Elephas maximus indicus: one gene and its partners. The protein of the gene in region 1 interacts with the protein of each later gene in a pairwise test. Links are inferred from orthologs where the notes say so. Each region holds a gene or a part of one and is shown on either strand. Other genes may lie near its edges.

Evidence for each region. The genes of interacting proteins can lie anywhere in the genome.
Region 2: the proteins of MBIP (region 1) and BFSP2 interact in binary tests that used the Homo sapiens proteins (3 or more experiments, as listed by UniProt). The two-hybrid records come from large-scale screens. The link is inferred for Elephas maximus indicus from reciprocal best matches to the Homo sapiens genes MBIP and BFSP2.
Region 3: the proteins of MBIP (region 1) and RAP1GDS1 interact in binary tests that used the Homo sapiens proteins (3 or more experiments, as listed by UniProt). The two-hybrid records come from large-scale screens. The link is inferred for Elephas maximus indicus from reciprocal best matches to the Homo sapiens genes MBIP and RAP1GDS1.

Annotation. Positions count from the first base shown.
Region 1 is NC_064828.1:48,670,980-48,678,825, reverse strand, and holds the start of MBIP (MAP3K12-binding inhibitory protein 1), read left to right. Parts: upstream 1-4,835; 5' UTR 4,836-4,994; coding exon 4,995-5,126; intron 5,127-7,846. UniProt on the Homo sapiens protein: Inhibits the MAP3K12 activity to induce the activation of the JNK/SAPK pathway. Component of the ATAC complex, a complex with histone acetyltransferase activity on histones H3 and H4.
Region 2 is NC_064844.1:46,439,297-46,446,274, reverse strand, and holds the start of BFSP2 (phakinin), read left to right. Parts: upstream 1-3,970; coding exon 3,971-4,459; intron 4,460-6,978.
Region 3 is NC_064823.1:55,404,065-55,411,703, reverse strand, and holds the start of RAP1GDS1 (rap1 GTPase-GDP dissociation stimulator 1), read left to right. Parts: upstream 1-4,631; 5' UTR 4,632-4,823; coding exon 4,824-4,827; intron 4,828-7,639. UniProt on the Homo sapiens protein: Acts as a GEF (guanine nucleotide exchange factor) for the Rho family of small GTP-binding proteins (G proteins) that stimulates the dissociation of GDP to enable subsequent binding of GTP.

The sequences.
Region 1 (7,846 bases):
TAGTGATCCATTGCATGAGACAGCATCACAATTATTCAATTATTACTGTAATGTTTTCCCAACTTATTTGATCATGGAATCTTTTGTTAAAAGAAGCATCTTGCAGGACTAGGGTTCAGCCAACTTTGGGAAATGCTGGCTTAGCATACTACTCTATTCATTGTATCCTCTCTGAACACATCAAGAATGTTCAAGTTGCTGCTCATAATGTATTCTCTAAATTGAGATGTCTTACTCATTGTTTGAGGCTCCATCCATGTTTTACAGTAACTGTTTACAGCTTTTCCGAACACTGAACCTCAGTACCCTCCCCAAAGGAAACAATCAATTGTATTACTTCATACATACCTCTAATATGGTCATTGGAAACCCTGGTGGCTTAGTGGTTAAGTGCTATAACTGCTAACCTAAGGGCTGGCAGTTCAAACCCACCAGGCGTTCCTTGGAAACTCTATGGGGCAGTTCTACTCTGTCCTATAGGGTCGCTATAAGTCGGAATCGACACGACGGTACTGGGTTTGGTTTTTTTGGGTTTAATATGGTCATTGTTACATAATATTGTAGTTGTTTACAAATCTGCCTAGATAGCTATCTGCCATTGTGTTGATTTTGACTCATGGTGACCTTAGTTTAGGTACAACAGAACGAAACGTTGCTTGGTTCCGCATCATCCTCAGGATTGCTGGCATGTACAAGTCCTCTGTTGTTGCCATGTGCCAATCCATCTCACTGAGGGTCTCTCTAACCATTGCCGGCCATCCACTTCACCAAACATGAAGTGCTTCTCTAGTGATTGATCCCTCCTCGTGACGTGTCCTAAGCAAGTGAGTCAGACGACGTTGTTGTTATCCATGAGGTGTTCACTGGCTAATTTCAGAAGCAGATTGCCAGGCTTTTCCTCCTAGTCTTGGTCTGCAAGCTCTGCTGAAACCTATGTACTATAGGTGACCCTACTGGTATTTGAGATACCAGTGGCACAGGTTCCAGTATCACAGCAACCCACGAGCCACCACAGTATGACAAATTGACAGGTGGGTGGTAGATATATCTGCCTAGCCCACTAGACATAACTGCCTAGCTCTTTGAGGGAGGTTCCTTGTCTGATCCATCTTTGTACCCTCAAGGCCTATCAAAGTGTCTGGCATACAGTAGGTACAATTGTTAATTTATATGGTATCATTCATGAGAATGGTTATGGAGGCTATTTATACATATTTACTTAAAAATTGAAGCACTTTGAATTTGCTGCCCCAAAGGAGGATAAACAGGCATTGTGTTAGTCATCTAGCACTGCTATAACAGAAATACCACAAGTGGATGGCTTTAACAAAGAGAAACTTATTTTCTCACAGTCTAGTAGGCTAGAAGGCCAAATTCAGGACGTCAGCTCCAGGGGAAGGCTTCCTCTTTCTGTAGACTCTGGAGGAAGGTCCTTCTTATCAATCTTCCCCTGAACTAGGAGCTTCTCCACGCACAAACCCTGGGTCCAAAAGACATGCTCTGCTCCTGGTGCTTCTTTCTTGGTGGTATGAGGTCCCCAACTCTCTGCTTGCCTCCCTTTCATCTCTTGTAAGATAAAAGGTGGTACAGGCCACGCCCCAGGGAAACTTCTTTTATATTGGATCAGGAACGTGACATGAGCAAGGGTGTTATATCCCATCCTAATCCTCTTTAACCACAGGCAGAGATCATGATTTATAACACATAGGAAAATCACAAAATGGAGGACGACCACACAACGCTGGGAATCATGGCTTAACCAAGTCAACACATACTTTTGGAGGACACAATTCAATCCATGACAGACATGCTTCATTATTTTAAATTAATTGTTTATAGCATTCTTACTATATTTTATAATTTTCCCCCAACACTGGAAGCTTGTTTCTTTTTTTCCATTTTACAAATATGTTTACCTTAGGCAAATAAATTTAGTTCGATAAGCATACATAGGGCAATTACTCTGTGCCAGGAACTATGCTAAGTCTTAAGTACAGGAACATGATACATATAAATCACCTGGAGCCCCAGTGGCGCAGTGGTTAAGAGATCAGCTGCTAACCAAAAGGTTGCCAGTTCGAATCCACCAGCTGCTCCTTGGAAACCCTATGGGACAGCTCTGCTCTGTCCTATGTGCCAGGAACTATGTCAAGTCTTAAGTACAGGAACATGATAAATATACTCATAGTTAAATAGCAATACATACTGTACTCAAATTTCAATATCGAAGCACTAAGTACAATAATGGAAGTATATATGAGTTTCAGGAGAAGTATAGCAGAGGTTACATAGTCTCTATGAGGAGAGGTATGAGGAAAGAGTTCTCAGAGAAGATTTCTGAACTGGAGTTTGAAAACTGGAGAGTTTTCCAAGCAAACCAGAAGCAACAGGCAGGAATAAAAGAATGGAGACAAGAAATCGTAGGGCTATAAAGAAGAGCAGTTTGGGGAGCATTAAGTACCAGATGGCTTGTGGTAGAAAATGAAGCTGGAAACTTAGGCAACAGTCAGGTTATAAGGATCTTAGATGACAATATAACGGACTCGGACTTCGCCAGTAGGTGATGGGAAGCCAGAGACGACAAACACTATTTGTTTTGCCTTTTCTGCATTAGGAGAGATCTATATAACATTCACTCAGCAAACAACTGTTAAGTGCATATAGTGCTCTGAATTAAAGTTCATCATAAAGAACATTTTTGTTGAAAAGGTAAATAGCCTAGTTTTCACCTATAATTTCTATCCTCTCCAACTGATTCTTGGCATAAACTCACAGGACAGTATTTCTAACTCTGTAGCTAACACCAATACCAACATTTTTCAATCATTTCCACCAGGCAGCACATTTTTTAGCAACCCAGTTCATAAACTGTAATTAGTCTCCTATAAAGAATAAATTATTTCCTTTATTCTTTTCTAAATTGCATAGCTTTCATTTTATTTTTGTTACACGTTAATATCTATAAATATCTATTTAAGGTTAGGCCAAAGGAATCCACATCTTTTCAGCCTACGAACTCTTCTATTTAAAATGGAATTTTCTATTATAAGAAGGAAAAAAGAAATGAGAAAAATTTCCAAAATGTAAATAATATGCCTCAGGAAGGCATAAGAAAGATCCCTGGAAAGAAGACACTACAAATGAGTTAACAAATCCCAACTATTACCAAAGTAAATACTAAGATAAAGGTAGAAGTCCAGATATCAAACACAAAATTACATGGAGAAGTGAGATAATACAAATCAAATGGGCACCATTTAATTTTGTATTAGGGGTTCAAGTGAACAAATAAAACTTGAAATTTCAAAGTCAGTGATGGCAAAGAAAGGAATGAGCAAAATCTTGTTAAGGATGGTATTGTTTTAATGTACAAAATATTTCTAAATGTGTCTCATACCAGTAATCTACATATTTGAAAAAAAATCTCATATATAGATAATAAATGACCTGAAACTGGTTGTTAATTTGCTATAGAAACAAAAACTTGTAGTTACCTATTACAATATTCTCCTTTAACTAGAGGACCAGAGTCAAAGAAAATATTCTAACATTGCAAAGAAATCATATATTTGCGTTAGAGAAGGGGTGAGAGACTTAAATGAGAGGGTTGCTCAATTTGGAATTAGATACTGTGAAATTTTTTTCTGGATATCTCTAGACATAAGTGGACTATCAGCTGTATATCTTGTCTGCTAACAAGGGAACAGGCAAGATTTCTTAAGATCCTGTCAAGCCTGGTGATCCCACAAGTCTTTGGAAATAAAAGCCTAATTAAGAGGCTCCCTAGGGACAGGTCAAAGGGTTCTTTTAACCCTACTACCCTTATCGGTTAGCTGGTTACCCTTATCCCAGTTCCTTGATGCCCTATTCCTTCCCTTTCATTCAGCCTCCTCTAAAACTGAAGAATACACATTGTACAAGTTTCCATCTTTGTCCCCTGTACTGTAAATGCATTAGACTATTAGAATTAAGAGTTTTAAGTCCCTTGTCTCTTGTCTTTAAATTGATACTGCTTTTTTTTTTTAAGTGTTTTTGAACTTTCTTCTAAGACTTATTTTTTCAGTTGGACAATTTTTTTTTTAGTGATAGACTTTGCCTGAAAGATTACAAAGTCCTTCGAGCTTCTTTATAATAAAGCTATTTGATAAATAACACTTGGTCAAAGTTTAATTCAGTTTTATGTCCTAATTTCAAAGTTTGTGTTGCATGGAATTACTTAGGTTAAATTCCTGCTGGAATCATAGTGACCACTGCACTTCCTTGAAACAATTTTAGGGTTGAACGTCTCTACCGCACCACCCAGAAACTAGCAACTGGTGCACGTCTTAAAACCTGATATAAATTATTTGCAGATTTAAAGTCATTATTGTCATTCCTTTGGTAGTAAAACGAAGGCACAACGGAACACTTTTGTTTTTACATCCTCATTTTGCCCCGCATGAAAAATTACTGGCGTTAATTTGTGTAAGTATTAAACAAGCTTGTAGAGATGAGCACATTCTATCCAGTTATGGTAATTCTGTGTGAGTTATCCAACGTTTAGAAACACGTGCGGACACCGCCCTAGACCTGAACCCGATCTCTCCTGAGACCACTACACACTGGCATGTTAAAATTTCAACTTGTAATTCTGAGGCTCGAACTCTAACATTTAATGATAAATGTCCTCTTACCGACATTCATAAACACCATCTAATAGTCAAGGTACGTTTCAAGACGCAAACTCTAAACCCCTGCTTCAATCACCATCCCAGATACAACATCCGGCCTCGCTCTGGTCAGCAATTGCCGGCTCCCGATTCTAGGCACCGCGCCACACTGGCTGATCACCTGATTGGTGCCCGTGCTTGCCAGTCACACAGAAACGGTGGGAGCCTAAAAACCACGATCTAAATAAGACGCGGTGTTTTTACGTCATTTTCGAGCGGCAAAAACTGGAGGGAGGGGGCTGCGAACGCGCCTGGGTAGTGGTGGGGGCTGCCGGGGAAGGTGTCATGGCTGCTGCCGCCACGGAGCTTAGTCGCCCGAACAGCAGTGACAGGAGCTCGGAGCGGAGCTGCAGCCCCAGCCTCTGCCGAGAGGCGCTCTGCGAAACCTTTCGCTCCTTGCGAACCCTGGCTGAACAAGTGAGTAGTGACCTGAGGGAGCAGAGCGTGGGAACCGTACGGCCCCTCCCCCCTTTTCCCTGTAGTTAAGGGCGGGGGCCGCCGAGGGCAGCAAGCTGCAGGCAGCGGGAGCGGCTCAGGCCGGGGGAGGAACCCCGGCCCCTGCCGCCTCCCGGCGGAGGGAGGAGGATGGCTGCACAGACTTAGTTGCAGGGACCGGTTGCAAACTAGATTTCCTTGCAACTGTTCTCTTATAGGGTCGCTGTGAGTCGGAAGCGACTCGACGGCAGTGGATGTTATTATTCTCCCGTAGAGTGAGTGAGGACAGTGTAAATGAAAACCTGGTTCTCGGAGAGAGTGAATGCGGAAAAGCTTCTCTAACGGTTTGGGAGGCGTCTGACGCTGAGTTCTTTTTCCTCCAGTTCCTTTTAGAAATTGGCTAGTTAGTGCGGCCTGAGATTGTGGGAAAGCGCTCACTGTACCGTTTTTGGGTCGATTTGCTCTTATGAGTCACTTGTTTTTTTTTTGTTTTTTGCTTCTGGACATCATTTGCATCTATTACGCTTTCAGACGGGGAGGAAAATAAAAGGAATTAATCGAAAATACTTACAGCATAAAGTTGGATGGGTTGCCCATGGTTAATCTGTTTGCATGAGAGCTCTTCTTTTAATTATTAACTAGGCTAACTGATAAATAACTTGCATAAATGTCTTAGTAAAATTGGGTTTGAAAGAAATGAGCTCCTTACTCTGTTCGGATCAACTCACTGTTTGGTTTCAATTACAATTCAAAGCAAATTTTAAATGAAAAACAACCTGAAGAGATGTTTATTTGCCTACTTTCTAAAAGGAAATATTTTGTATCTTAGATGGAACACTTTCTAGCTATACAAGTTTGTTCTGGAACTGGTAGTAATGCCTGTGGTCAAGTAGACACAGCAGACGTCTGTGTTGAAGATAACGGTTAATTCTTAAGAAAATAAAGCATTTGTCCAATTTATGGAAATTATTTTTTAAAGCCTTCAGTATATGGAGAACTAATTTTTTAAAGTTATTTCAATATTTAAAAAAAAATTCTAGCATGCTTGTCATGATTTACAAAGAGCATTACTTTAAACACTCAGCTTGGTATAATGGAACAATTATTAATGGAATCTGCTAAAAGGTAGAATATAGCTTTTAAACTTGGTTACTTGCCAAAGACCAAAAAATATTTATGAAGACTTGAGGACTTTTGATTAATTATTGTTAACATTTTAGCCTTAAGACCCAAGACTTCTAAATGTTTTAAAAGTTAGAGAACTTTTTATTTTTATGGTGTGGCTATTAGAAATTTAAAGTTTAGTCATACTCTAATGCCAGGATGAAAAAAGTTTATCCTATTATTTACAGAAGGTATTTCTGATTCAGTAATGGAATATTTATAAAAATCAACATTGAGGAATGATTTAAACTTTCTAATTTCGTGTTCTGAATTTTTCAAATTCATTTAAAAATTGTAAACATTCAGGTATTCTGTAGGTACAGTAGAGATGTGATTAAAATCTACTCTTGTCACCTGTCAGAAATGTTTAATATAAATATTTGGTGAGTTTACATGACGCAGTGAGGGAATCTTTTATACAAGTGTCAAAAATAAAATTGTCTCGTCAATTAAATGCTAATCATTTTGGTAATATTCTTTCAATTTTGAGACATATTATTTAAAGATAAGAATAAAAACCAGAGTATTATAATACTTATAAAATCACTTCAGGGGAAATCACTGCTTCCTTTTGCAACAGGTTTGAAGGATTTAAAATATATGCCTAAACTCATTCTGTATAATGCCATTGTATTATTGGTTCTCTTCAATAGGAAGCATAAAATTGAACTTTAAAAAGTATTTCTATCCCAGATTGAAAAATGTACTAATTTTTGCCAAGTTTAACCTTATTGCTTGCCTCCGGATGGCCCGTTTTACCAAGTTAAAGAATTGTTTATTGTTAGCTTGGATTGTCTTATTAATGAAGTTTTGACTGACTGAAAATGCATATTTAATTGGCCTATATTAATAGCAGACTAATATAGATTTTTGAGTGAATGGTGTACCACTACAAATTCTATAGGGTAAAATGCAGAGAAAATTTGTTGATTAGATAGTTGAATGTATTAGGATAGTTTTCAAGTTAATTCATGACATTATTATATGGCTTTCTTGAAAGACCAAGTATCCTTATTGCACTTGAAGGCTTTCATAATTGTGTTGAATTGAAACGAGAATACGATCCAAACATTTATTTTTATTTTCCCTAAGTTACTCTTTTCTCTAGAAAATTTGATGCTTTGCTTTGGTTGAGAATTTGCCTGCTTTACTCCAAACCATATTCATAAATTTGTTCTACTTGCTATAGATCTCTTTGAGGCCTGTAAAAGTGTAGTAGTAGTTTACTTCCATACAAAAGTTGTTGTCTAACAAACTCTTTATGAAAGACGTTAAGGGAATGTAAACTAAGAGGCATTAATCTTTGCCAGTACAGCCTACATAAAAATTTCTATTTCTTTAAACTTGTCTAATGTGAACTTTAAATGCTTCTGATCTCATGTTCAAAGGACAATGAATTTGTTTCAAAGTTTTCTTTTAGTATAGTGTTTTTTTATTGGATACATTGCATCTCTGGTTCCTTGTACAGTAATTTTTATAGTCACACCTGATAAGACCTATATTTGAATTCATGCACCACTTGTCTTTATTTTGTTGAA
Region 2 (6,978 bases), on another chromosome or scaffold:
GAGGCAGCAGGAGTATGCAGCCTCAGGAATCACATGGAGGACATCAAGGCGTCCACGTCCTAACATCACACAACAGGGCCTCCAGGGCAGCCAGCGTGAGCATGCACTGTGCCAGCTACAGGGCTGCCTTTTCCTAATGGAAAAGTCTCCCCTTTAAGTTCGTTCCTGCTTCCCCTCCACTGCCCATATCTGCATTAAACCCTCGTGCCTTTTTCTCTAGAGGGTTTAGATGCAGACCTAGCCCACCAGCAAATGTTTATTAGGGTTTGGAGGTTTGTTTTCTCAAAAGGCAATCTTATTGTGTCCCTGAAAACATGTTTGGGGTAGGTCTGTAATTTTAGGAACCTTCCTCCTGCGATCTTAAAAAACCGAGATTGCTAAAGCGAATCGCTTAAGAGAAGATGCCCTTTAACCTCCAGTCGGTGTTACAGATCTGCCGTTGGGGTCACCACAATGACTGGTCCTCCAGCTCTGTGTTTTGTAGACGATAATCCCCTCCGTCTGGGGTTGGCTGCCTGCACCTCCCTCCCCATACTGCGTCCTGCATGGCCAACAGGAGTCAGACCCTCGGAGATACAAGAAGGACTTCCAGAGATGGGCTGCCTGTCTATTGTTTTTTCTAATAGCCAGTGGCTGGGAGAGAAGATAACTGCTTTCACGTTTCCTTTCTCTAAAAGAGAAATAGTTTGATAGTATATTTTGAATATAGATGCTATTACAGTCAGATTGGGAATTGAACTTGAATGTTGACTTACATGTTAGTGTCGTTGCTGTGGTCTTTTGATCATGACTTTTTCCTTTCTTCCTACGTTTCAGTTTTTAAAATATATATATGGCCTTCAAAAATGTGTGTTCTCAATGTTGTATGAACTTACTTAACCTGTGTTTGACTGTTGTCTTTCTTCAAAGACTCTTGGACCTACAAAGAAGCAGGTTAAATGCTCTGAGATCCATTCTCTAACATGCTGCTGTCTGGCCTTTTTAACCTTATCATGATATTTCTGTTAGCTATTGCATTTAACATATCTGTGTGTGTGTGTGTGTGTGTGTGTGTGTGGAGAGAGAAATCTGTAAAGTAAAATTTATATATAATATATGTAATCAAAGGTACATATGTTATATATACGTATGTGGATGTATGACTTATTTTTCCTTATCCACAGAATTCAGCTACCATGTATATATAAATAAACTTATTTTATTAGCCAGAGGATTGTTGTTAATACATTTTGTGTTCTTTTCACTTTAACGTAACTTCCTTAAGGAGTCCCCATATCACCTTGTGCCTAGCTCTATTTTTTTTAATTGGATTTAACAGCAAATTGGGTTTAATGAGTGTGATGAGCTAGTAGGATTAGCAGTCTATCATTTGAGAAAACAAATCCTTTAGAATATGTTTGTGATTTCTCCAAAAGAGAATCCTCTCTCTTAGGTCTTTGGAGACACCGGTGTCAGTTAAGATGGGCCACCTCCTCATCCTACCCCTCCCAGGGCTCTGTGGAGTCATTGTAAACATCTTCAGGATAGAGCAATCTGAAGTTAACCTGGCCACTGAGGGTCACCACTCTGTGGAGAATAACAGTGCCTAAACATATCACCTTTGCCAACAACTTCACCCATATTTTGGACCCTTCATTTAGCCTTGATACATCCTGGAATTCACAAGAATGCAGATCCTTAGGCCAGTCAGTGTCTCCTACATTGCTGTTGGGTACCATCTAGTCGATTCCAACTCATAGTGACCCCATGTGGCAGAGAAGAACTGCCCTATTGGGTTTTCTTGGCTGTAATCTTGATGGGGCAGTGGTGGCACAGTGGTTAAGAGCTACCAGCCAAAAGATCAGCAGTTTGAATCTACTAGCCACTCCTTGGAAACCCTATGGAGCAGTTGTACTCTGTCCTATAGGCTATGAGTTGGAATTGACTCAACAGCAACAGGTTTGGGTTTGGGGGTTTGGGTAATCTTGATAGCAGCATATCAACAAGTCTTTCTCCGGCGAAGCCGCTGGGTGAGTTCGAACCACCACCATTTCCAGTAGCATCCAAGCACTTACCTGTTGTGCCACCAGGGCTCCTTATCACTAACACTACCCAAACAAAAAAAACTAACACTGGGAAGATGTTATTATACACAGGCTTGTCTGTGCCATGACCACATCAGGTGCACCAGAGGTGGCACTCACAGCAAGAAGGCCAAGTCTAAAGAAGGGATACCCCCAGCCTTTGCTTGATCAAGTTGGTTTCTTAATCTGTTAATCAAATAACCAACCTTGATAAAATGCCTTTTATGCCATCTCAGATAGATGAAGAAAGAGAAAAAGGCAGCGGGGGCGGGGGAGCATGGTGTTGTCCTAATGAGCAGCAAAGAAGAGCACACAGGATATTCTTGTAGGTGAGTAAGGTTTTTAACTCCTGTGGGACCTTGCATAGGTACCCTTCTCTAGTGGTGGGAGACAGAGAGGGCCTGGGTCAGTCACTGGACTGGAAGTCAGAAGAGGCAGCTCTGCTCCTTTCTGGAGATGAGACCTTGGGCAAGTCATTGAGCCCTCAGGGCCCTCATAAAATGGGAATACTGGCCAATTGTAGGGCATGTGATGATACTTCTAGAGTTGTGCAGTGCGCCCAAAATGGCGGTACACGTCAACCCTGTACCTACCTCCAAAAACTGAATTGAGAAGTCAATGAAGTAAAGCATGGAACCCATTTACTGGGGTGGGTTCAGTACTCACTAGAAGTTGGTTCCCTTCCCTTTCTCTCACTCACTTCAAGTCTGTTCCCACATTGCAGGGTCTGGGATAAATAATTCAGCTCTGGGTTTTGGTTACCTGGTTTCTCCAGAGTAAGACTTAAGTTCAATGGGTTTAGGTCCAGGTTGTCATGCCCTGGGGCTATTTTCTGGCCCTGGAGAAGTGACAGAAGGGTGATCCACGACAGCATGCCTCGGTGGATGACTACTGAATCCTAACTTGAGTTCCCTTAGACAGCTAACTGGAAAACCACTCTCCTTGTTGTTCTTATTTATTTGTTTTCCAAAAGATGAGGAAACAGGTATGGAAAACATCCGTAGCATAATAAGTATCCAATATGTGTGGGACCCAGATTTGCTCAAGGTCCCTTATCTCGTGCGTCAGGCCAGCGTGTGGAACGCAAGGTCCAGAGAAGTGAGGTAGCTTGCAGCTGATGGACAGCAGAGCTAGAGCCCATCTACCTTGACGGACCCTCCACACCCCAGGCTCTCTCTGAGGACACCTCCCCATCCCTGAAAGACACAGAGACAAGAATGCCCACCCTGCCCCCAGGAAGGGGGCTATAGGGCAGAGGTAAGAAGAGAAGATAGAGGTAGGGAGGGACATGAAGCTGCTGCTATGATTGAGGGGGGTGAAGGAAGCAACAAGCTGGCTTGGTTTCTCTTGAGCCCCCAGGACTGCCTCCCCCCATGCTGGCCTTCATCCACTTTCATCCTCTATTACCTGTTGACACATGTGCACATTCAGACCAGCAGCACAAACAGGCACTGAAATGAGGCCTGGAACACCTGGATGAAGCTTTGGCTAAACCACTCGCTAATGAGCTAAGGTCTCTTGTACCTCAGTTTATTTATCTGTGAAATGGGGCTGCTTGAGACCTGCCTTGCCCTCTCTTAGATAGTGAAAGCCTGTCAACACATGTGGCCCAATTACATGAACCCCCCGATGAACCACCCCCACAGCCTGCACTGATATAGCCTCCCCGCCCCCACACCAGCTAAACAAGCTAGGAGGTTGGGCACGTGGTCCTGCAGAGAATGCCTGAGTGCCTGTCTGCAGCAGCCCTGGGCAGGGCCTGTCTCAGCGAATTATGGAAACTCATGGAAGTAGCAAACAAAGCAGCCTGGGGGCGGGGGAGCTTCCAGAGAGGTCTGTGACCAGGCCACTGGGACTGGACTCCAAAAGCCACTGGACTGTGTAAACCCACAGAGACAGAAGGGGTGATGAGCGAGAGGCGAGTGGTGGTGGACGCACCCACCGGTGCCAGCTTCAGCATGTCCCTCCACAGGCGCAGGGCGTCCTTCAGGGGGACTCAGTCATCATCTCCCCTGGAGAGCGCCCTGGGCTCCAGGGCCAATGTTGGGGGTAGCCTGGTCCAATCACCTCTGATCTATATAGGCACAACACCCACCGGGTACATAGGTGGCCAGGGTGCCCACGTGACCTGCCGAGCCCTGGGCATCAGCAGTGTCTTCCTACAGGGCCTTCGGAGCTCAGGCCTGCCCTCTGTGCCTGCTCCTGGCCTGGAGGGGGACCACGATGCTGCTGAGGACTTGGGGGGCTGCTTGGTGGAATACACGGCCAAGGTACGTGCCCTGGAGCAGGTCATCCGGGAGCTGGAAAGGCAACTGCGGACGCACCTGGAGAGCAAGGCTGCGGGCTCGGGAAGCTGGGGTGCCCTCAGGGCCTCCTGGACCAGCAGCTGCCAGCAGGTGAGTGCCTGGGCCGGGCCACCTCTGCAGAGGGCCTGGAGGGAACAATGAAGGCTGCCTGTTGTACCATCTCTGGGGTCATTATCAGAGAGTCCGAGGGCTGGGGTAGGGGACAGGGGAGTGAGTGATCCAAGGCCCAGAAACTGACCGCAGACCTTTACCCTTCCGTGCTAAAAAATACTACTAATGATAATAATAACAACAACAGTGACAGTGGCTACTATTTACCGAGGTTCACTAGGGGCCAGGCCCACACTCGTTCCTGTATGCACGCTCTCTCCTATAATGTTCACAGTGTAGGCAGTGGCTCCATCATGGATTTCATCTTTCAGATGAGAAAACCAAAATCACAGAAGTTAAGAAACGTGCCCACGATCACACAGCTAATTGGGAGTTGAACCTGACATTTGAACCTGAAATTTTCCATCTTCAAAGCTTGCACTTGTCCCATTACCCTGGGCCGCCTGTGTCAGCCTTTATTGTTGTTACGTGCCATCGAGTGGATTCCAGCCATCATCAAATTCAATACCGCTGAATGGATGTGGTACTAAAAACGATGAGAAAATGGAAGCGTGTTCCTCTATCCACCCATAACAAAACTGTCCAAAAGAAATGTAACATGAGCCACGGAGGTAATTTCCAGGTTTCTATTAACCACCACAGTAAAAAAAAAAAAAAGGGAAAAAGAAACAGGTGAAATTAATTTAACATTATATGTTATTTAACGCAACATATATTTTTTTTTATCCAAGATGTTATCATTTCAATACGTAAAAAAAAAAAAAGCTTTCTATTTTAGTACCTTTGACGGGCCACCACCTGTCTGTCAGTTTGTTGTACCGCGGTGGCTTGCATACTGCTATGATGCTGGAAGCTGTGCCACTGCTATTTCAAATACCAGCAGGGTCACCCACAGTGGACAGGTTTCAGTGGGGCTTCCAGACTAAAAGGGACTAGGAAGAAAGCCTGGTGATTTACTTCCGAAAGTTAGCGAGGCAAACCTGATGGATCACAACAGTACGTTGCCCAACTCGCTTTCTGTGGACATCCGGAGGGCTCAGTCACTGGAGGAGGATGTCATGTTTGGTGAAGTACAGGGCCACTGAGGGTGTGGGAGACCCTCAGTGAGATGTATTGGCACAGCACCCATAACAATGGGCTCGAACATAGTGGAGATTGTGAGAATGTCGCAGGACCAGGCAATGTTTGGTTCTGTTTTCCATAAGGTCACCATGAGTCAGAGTTGGCTCATTGGCAGCCAACAACAACTTTTAATGGCACTTTTTTACCACTTTTTGAGCAAGAGGTCCCATGTTTTCATTTCACAGCGGGACCCACACATTACATGGACCATCCTTGTTACAGGGTTACTGTATTATGAAGTTCCTTTCCATTTCCCAGCCTCTCTCTTCTGGCTCCCAGGCTGTGTCCCACCCTCCCAGCCACTTCTCTTGCTAAACACGGAAGCAGACTGAAAACCCCCAGGCACTGGGCAAAGAGTCTGAGGGGGACCCCCCGGCTCCTGCACACTTCTCAAGGAGTGTTTCCCTCTCGGCCTTGCCAGGGGCTCCAGACTCTTCTTGCCACGTAAAGGATGTTGATAATCACCTCTGGCGGGAACATCAGGCCCTTTTCATCGTCAAATAGGCCAAACACAGGCTTGGAATTTGGCAACCACCCTGTCTGCCTCAGAGCTGCAGATAAAAGGAGAGGGGACGGAGAAAGGAGCAGGAAGGAGCTGAGGCCAGGGTAAGGGGGACGCTGGCTGGGGAAGAAGGGAGGAAGTGTGGGCCTTTAAATTGTCACCACTCTGTTATGGAGCCACGGAAATTAGGGGTCTCCCCTGGAGAAAACGTCAGCTTATACCTCCAGTGGCAAAGGCTGGCAGCTGGAGGAGAAGGGGAAATGAATATTATAAAAAGTTAAGAAGATTAGAATTTAAAACAGGCCTGATCTGAATATTTTTCCTGCTGCTCACAGTCCCTGTTTCTGCCCCTTGCAGAGAGACAGCCCCTGCTCTGGGGGTCTGCCTATCTGGAGAAGATGCTGGAAACTTAGGTAGTCTAAGTCAGGGCCAAGTTTCTCTCCCCACAGAACCCGTGGCCCTAGGAGCTTTTTTTTTTTTTTCTTTTAAAAAAGAAGAAACAAGAACAGTTCCTCTGCTGAGTGAAAAAAGAAAGGCAACAGGATCATTGTTCATGATTCAAGACCTGGTGTCCCTGAAAGGGGAGAGGGACTTGAGCTATTTTTAGCATGTGTACTCCCTGAATTAAATAATACATTGACCCAAGACAAAGCCACCCAGCCTGTTTGGTCAGAGCAGGTCACTCTGTTAGCCAAGCTATAAGGGACACTGCAGTATCATTAAAATATAACTACCAGGAGAAAAATATATTTAGGAGAGTTTCAATTGGGGAGAGTGATATGTAAGACTTCAAGAAATATTTTGACAGGCCAGGGGAGGGGGCAGGGGCATGAGATCACAACCAAGGAGGTTGGTCAAGTAATATTAAAAAAAA
Region 3 (7,639 bases), on another chromosome or scaffold:
CTTAGAAATCAAACCAACCTAGTTCAAATTCCAGCTCTACTTTTTGTTGGTCATATGACATTAGGCAAATTAATTCAAATATCTTGATTTTCCATTTCCTTATCTACAAAATGCTTATGTGGTTAGTATTAGATGAGAGTTTCTGACACATAGTAGGTACTCAGTAAATAATTCCAAGAGCATCAAAAACTAATTTCATTTATTTCCCAGTTTTGCCTTAGGCTAGTCCAGGGTAAGAGGAATGGAAAGCTTGAAGAGTCGGAGGGCATCTTCATTGAATCTGTGAAAATGTGTGCACGTGGATGGTTGGGGTATAGGGTGGAGGTAATTTTAACTGTAGAACTAAATTCCTTTCAGAAAGCCAGGACGCAGTCTAAAAACATTGCTTACATTTGAAAGACACTTCATGGTTTTTTCCCCTGACAGACATATATTATAATTAACAATTTTTATGAACAATAAATTTGAGAGTCAGAGACAAAATGGTGAACTGCCCAAAGAGACAAAATTAAGTGCCACAGAGGCAGTTAGTAGTGAATGGAACTGGGCATTCTTGTCTCTTGACAGATACAAATACGACAAATCCCTGCATGTTATGATTTAGAATCCTAGGTGCATACCAAGCTTCTAATCCTCCTTTTAAAACAACAGAATGGCAAAGCCAATTGAAATTAAAGTAGGTTAAATATTTTAATATTAACTACTCAACTGATTGATTCTGAAGTGGTTTGTACCATCTAAAAATGTATATAATATAGGCCTATAGTTGTTTGAAATATGTAGACAGTAGTAGATTGAGGTAGTAGCCTATGAAAAAATTTAGATTTCATAAGATTTAGAAAATGGTTAATAAAATAAGTAAATGAAAAGGAGGTGGCACAGGCCCTACAGTGAGTTAGTGGGTGAGGACATATCAATTGTTGAACCTGGATTAGCCTAACCTTACCAATGAGGCCTTTTAAAAACAGCTTAGGCAGAAGAATTTTCACTGCCAAATCATTTTTTATCACTGCAAAGTTCAGTTAACTACTCCAGTGAGATTCTCCTAAATGATATTCAGAACATCACAGGACGAAGCAGCAATCAGTTCCCTATTATTCTTTTAAAGCACATTCTTGCTTCTATTCAGTTCCTCTTGTTCTGCCCCTCCTAGTACATTTCTTCTGAAGAATTTAAATCATCTCTAGCCGCTTTAAGGTTATGTACATCAATGAGGTAAGTTAGGTTATAAACCTTGCTAAAATGTACTGCTTGCGATCCTTTCTCATAGACATTTTCCTTGATCCTCCTCCCTACCCCCACAAACAACAGCTATTTGGCTAATCATAAACCATTTTATAACAGACCTTGTTATTCAAATAAATCTGTGATACTTTATAATATTTCCTGGATAGACATTTGAAAACCTCTGTATTGGGCAAGACTTTCTCTTTATTTTGTAGCAGATCTAATCAAATTCTGACCATTTCCTAACGTGCAGCATGGCACTAGTAGATTGATTTCTGGAGGAGTCTCTTGACTTCAGAATATTTTCTATTGATTCATGTGAGGCCAGAAGTACTACCAAAACAATATTTCTAACATATAAGCTTCTTGAAGGCAAGGGCCACAGTTTACTTGATTTTGTACATCCAGTGCCTTGGCACCGTGGTTAAGAGCTCAGCTGCTAATCAAAAAAGGTTGATAGTTCAAATCCACCTGCTGCTCCTTAGAAACCCTATGTAGTAGCTCTACCCTTTCGTATAGTCTCTATGAGTTGGAATTGACTTGATAGCAATGGATTTGGTTTTTGTTTTTAATCATGTCTGGTACATAGTAGACTCTCAATATGGACTAACTGAATGAGCAAATTTGTACAAAGACTCTACCTCATAGAAACGTAATAGTTTCAGATAGAACTAGCACAGATATAGCAGTTGTCATTATTATATTTATTGAATAACTAATTTTACATAGTCAGGTGCTAGAGTTTATAAGGAGAATATTAACACCATATTTGTTCTCCTTGAGAATAAAAACTCTAAAAACAAACATGAAAAGATTTTAATTTACACAACACATCATGCTTGCTATGTGCTAGCCAGTGTTCTAGGCACTGGGGGTATAACTGCAAATAAAATGGACAAAAATTCCTGCCCTTGGAGAGCTTACATTTAAGTGTGATGGCAGGCAATAAGCAAAATATCTATTTTCTTAGATACTGATAAGTGCTAAGTCAAAAAAATAAACCATGGAAGTGGGGAAGTGATGTAGGAATGTTGAAATTTTAGATAAAGTGGCCAGGAAAGTCCTCATGCAGGTGACTTTTGAGTAAACAGATGAAGGAAGAAAGTAAAGACATGAAAAAAAAACATATATATATTTCTATAATAGCTAGGACAAGAAAGGTAAGGTTGGAAGGCGATAGGGTTGTATGAAAGGGTAGACCTTACACAGATCCATACCTGATCTGCTTCTGCAACCAGCAGTCAGTTACTGAGTCCCGCTACGGTTACACGCCAGTGCTTTGGACTCACTCTATGCAGTATGCCCGGACAATCCTTTGGTTTCAGTTGGTAGGAATGCTGAGGGAACCGCTTGTCGATTCAAGCAGAACACAAAATACACTGAAATGTGTCAGGTGGGAGATCACAAAGCCACTTCAGTGGCTTTTGTTTTAATTCATACGTCCAAATGAAAGATACATAATACTGTAAGAAATTACTATAATTATTGCAATATAATTAGAAAAACAAGTAACAGGAAAAGTGACGCAAGTGAATTTGAGGATCCGGAAGAGATTAAGGAAGGTTAAAGAAAGAGAAAAAAGGCCTCCCCCCAGTAAACTCCCCCCCCCCCAAAAAAAACACAACCAATAAACAAAAATGAGAAGCAGAAATACAGCAAGGTCCCAGTGCGGCCTTCGGGATAGATTAAGCAATGAATTTGGAATAAGGGGGTTGCGTGCGTGTGTGGGACTGGTGGGGTGGGGAGGAAAAGGTGGTGGGGCTTGCATTGACGTGTAAGATTATTTTGAAGCAAACAGGAAGCGCATCCTTATATTAGAGAAAGGGATGCACGGCAGTAGGAGAGTGAGGTGTGTGATTCTGCCATGTGCATCAGAATATACTAGTATCTTTGACTTCTGTAACCTGTATTTTCTTAATTTACCAAACTTTCTTCTTAATTATGTTTCATTTTTGTTTTAGAAAAGGCACACAAAATGTCTTCTGCTTAACAAATGACAGGCTCCCTTCAGGCGTGTACTTGTAGTATCAAAGATAAACTGACCTGACTGTAAGAGGGCCATGCATGGGAAAAACAAACAAACAAAAAAAACCTTTTCTCAACATTGGTTTGAAAAAGTGGAAAGAAATCTCGATTCAGCTATTCAGCATCTTCCTCTCACAGGTTGTGCTGCCGACTCTGCGCTCATTGTCCCCTGCAAGACTGCGGTCTTTGCTGCCTCAAAAGAGCGGCCTGAGTCCTCACCCCAGCCATTCAGAAGTCAGGGCGAAACAAGTGCGCCCAGAGAGCAAGGTGTCCCCCTAGCCTCCTCGCCCGGCTCAGGACCGAAAACGGGCACCCGCCTCGCGCGCATGCTCAGTCGGGAGAGCGCCCTGAAAAGGCGCGTCGGCTTGGGAAGCACCCCTGCATGGTTATCCCCTGAGCTAAGGAGGTGCAGGGAGGCTCCACCCGGCTCCACCCGGGGTGCCCGCAGCCGTTTCGGGCCGAAGCCTATTTTCTTGCCTTGGGAGCGTTGTTCCTCCCGCGTTCCAAGGGAGCGGGGCGGAGCCGGGCTTTTCCGGGTGGGGTGGAGCCCGACCGCCGAGGGCACCCTTGTTAAAGAGCCTTTCAAGCGTCTTTCTGGAGCGCGCGAGGGGATTCTCCTCCGGGGAATGGAAGGCCGCACTCCTCGGAGAACACACTCCCTGAGAAAATGCCGGGGAGATCACTCTTCTGCGCTGCCCCGACCTCTCTGTTTTAAAACTAGCCACAAGCTAGGGCAGCTTTAACTGCCCTAGAGATATGCCTATTAATATTCAGCGTCCTCCCAGCGGCCTCCTCCCCGTTGTGTCCAGCGGGCCCCCACAGGCTTTTCTGAAAATGGGCGCCCTCAGGTATCTCCGGGAAGCGTTGGCCTCATCGCCCACACGTCCATTCCAGCTGTTCTCCGGGAAATTACCCCAAGTGAGCCGGGCTGTCTTGTAATAAACACAGGCCTGTTTTCTGAGTGTGAGCTGGCGGAGCTTGGGGTGGGGAAGCAAGCCTGGGGGGTGTCGGGATAGCAGCAATTCGGGATCAGTGTTCCCGTGTCCTGCCCTCTCCGGCCCACCCTCTGCCCCTCACATGGCCGCCATGAGGCTCCTCCACGGCGGCTGCAGCCGGTCCGCAAACACGCCCACCCGCACGCTCACACTCACTAGCCTCGGGTTTTTTTTTTTTTTTAAGGGGGAATGTACTGAGCATGCTCTATGGGAGGGGCGGGGCTCTCTCGGGCCGCGCGTCGGGGCCGGCGCTCCTTCGGCCGGCTCGGCGCCTCCGCTGCCCGCCCGCCCGGAGCCGCGCCCGGCGCAGGCTGCGCCCGCCCGCCCCGCCCCACCCCGCCCCGCCCCGCCCCCCGCCGCTCGTCCCCGCCGCGGCCGAGCCGCCTGCAGCAGCAGCAGCGGCAGCAGCGGCAGCAGCAGCAGCAGCGGCAGCAGCTGCTCCTCCCCGGCGGCCGCCCCCCGCGGGTCCCTCCCTGGCTGCGGGAGAGACGGAGGTTGAAGGAGGACACAGCACCGCGCCGCCTGCACCGGAGACCTTCGCTGCGCCCTACCGGCTCCTCACTTTCTGGGAGGAACATGGGTAAGTCATCCTTCCTTCCCCGTCATCGCCTGACATTTTTCTCTTCCTCGCCGTGCTGCAGGGTAGGAAGTATTTTTCGCGCAAAGTTGCCGGATATCTCAATTCCACGGGTGTGAGACGGTGGCTTTTCCTCCGGGGAGAGTCGGCGCACGCGGGACGCACGCCGGGCACCCGGACTGGGAGGGTCCCGAGTGCGGGGTGGGGTCGGTACGCGGGACCGGACCGCCGCCCGGCTCGGCACCTCACTGCCTCGCCTCCCCTCCTCCATTCTTCCTGCCCGAGCCCGGGCACCCCGGAGCCAGGCTCGCCAGCTCGCATCCTTTGCCCCGTCCCCGTTTCTGTGAAGGCCGCCTGCTACCTTTTTCCCACGTCTTCTGGGCTCGAGGTTCCTGTCCGATCGGGAGAAAGACCACTTAATGGAACTCCCCTGTCAGCACGACCTTTCCTTATTCTGGGGACTGCTCATCCCGAGGCGGGGAAATGTGAGCACATAGTTTGTGAGGGCTATTTTACAACCTGCACGGACATTTATTTTCGATGGGGGAAAGCGGACAGCCTCATAGGTTGAAACGATGACTTGTCAGAGGCCACGAGGAACGTGAGGAAAGAGAGCTGCTAGCTGATTTGAATTGGTGTGGGTGACTACAGCGTGCAGTATTCCTGTGCTCAGCCCATGTTGTTGGTGAACTTACGTGTTATTCTTTCCTAGTTTGCTCTGCCTAAATCTGCCTAATCTGATTTTAGTTGTCTTGTATTTATAGTTAATCTCAAGAGGTTGGTTTGGATGAGATATTTAAAAGCAAATACAAGTTTTGTAAAAATACGTATAATTCATCCCTCAAATTTTAATCCTATTGCTTAACTGTTAAATGCCGTAATTACAGATGAATTCTGTAATGTTAGTTAAAAGCCTGAAGTTTTTTTGGACTGGGTGAGCTGAGGGGATGTATTAACTTGGAATACCATACTTCTACATGTTCCCCAATTTGCTTTCACTCCTGTCGATCATAATTCCCTCTTTTTAAATTTGCTCCATGGGCATCTATCAGCTGGACTTTTCCCACCCCTTTGTGCAAGTTGTTTAAGCTTGAGATGCACGGTTCTTTTATCTGTTAGTAGAGTTCTAACAACATGTTCAGAGTTAGATTATGGCAATTCAGAATCTCCAAGGAAATATCTAAATCTAGATATGGTGTCACTGAAGATTACTGGAAAAGCAGATGTTCCAAGCACTGATTCAGAGCTTCGGCTGTATGTCAGGAAGAGGCCAGGGCTGCAGGGTAAGATGGTTTGAATGAAAAATGATTGTTTTTTCCCTTTTAATGTAGGTGCTGTTGGTACACTGAACAAATTGTAAAAATAGGGTGGCCCATTTATATGTGACAAAACTTTGTGGTTCAGAAGGTTTGAACCCACCCAGCAGCTCCATGGAAGAAAGGCCTGGCAAACTGCTTCCATAAAGATTGTTATTAGGTGCTGTCAAGTCAAGCACATGTGACAGAGTAGAACTGCCACATACGATTTTCTTGGCTGTAATCTTCAGGGAAGCAGATTGCCAGGTCTTTCTCCTGTGCAGCTGCTTAACCATTTTTGCCACCAGGGCTCCTCCGTAAAGATTACAGAAAAGAAAACCCTTTGGAGCAGTTCTACCCTGTGACACACAGGGTCTCCATGAGTCGGGGGGCCAACTCCAAAGGCAGCTAACAACAACAACAAGCTTTCTGTAGGAGTAATTTTAAATAAATAATAAATCAGATTATTGCATGTGTTGTGCCTTGCCCTTGAACTTACCCCAATTTTCTTAATTACCAAATCTGGCCTGTGGAATACATTTCCCCATGTTTCAGGATGAGTTTAAAAAACCCATTTAATTAAAACTTTACATGTTCAGTCAGTACTTTTTTGGGGGGGAAAATGCTCTTATAACGTTAGTGACTAAAAGTAGTTAAAACAAAGAAAATTATTTATTTAAAAATAATTAATTTTGAAAAATTTTGAAAAAGTCAACTATAAACCCATCTTTCCCTGTGAGGCCTTCTCAGGTCCGCTTTGACTAAATTAACCTCTTTCTCTCCTGATAGCTATTTGTAACTTGTTAGAAGCTTTTTAGCACTTACATAATCTGCCTTATATTAGAGTTGTTTATGTGTGTGTGTGTTGTGCATTTAATCGTGAATTCCAGAAGGTGAAAATTGTCTTACTAATCTTTGTGTCTTCACAATGCGTTTCACATAGCAGGTATTCAGTAAGTCTTAGCTGAATTAATTGTTGAACTTAAAACCACGTATCTGTTATTTTTTTACCTTTGAGCCTGAAAAGTATAGGCTCCAAACAAATATTTGGGTTATTGGATATGTCAAAGGGGATATGAACGTATAATTGTACTATGTCTTTCCTCTCTTTAAAAGAAAAAAAAAAAAAAAAGAGTTGGGTTCTTACCCAGGTTGTTTTGAGACAGCCTCCAGGGAAGCCATATCCTTCTACAATGTTGCTTTCAACGATAAGGCGATTTAGCGTGCCATCAGTAGGTATATGCAATAACATAAAATTGAAACCTTGGAAAGCAATTTTATATTCTGAGCCAAGGAAATTATAAAGATTTGTATACAGCATAGGAGGTGGAAGGCACACTACTGATGGTAGAAAAAAAATCACTTTTTAATCTTTTCTTCTCAAGAAATAAGGTAATTAAAAAAAAATTCTCATGGCATTGATTTTTCTACCCAAGAAAGTAAAGGAAACTTACTATATGACCTTTGGACCATGGCAATTATTTTATGTATATATTTTATTATAAACTCAACATGTATGT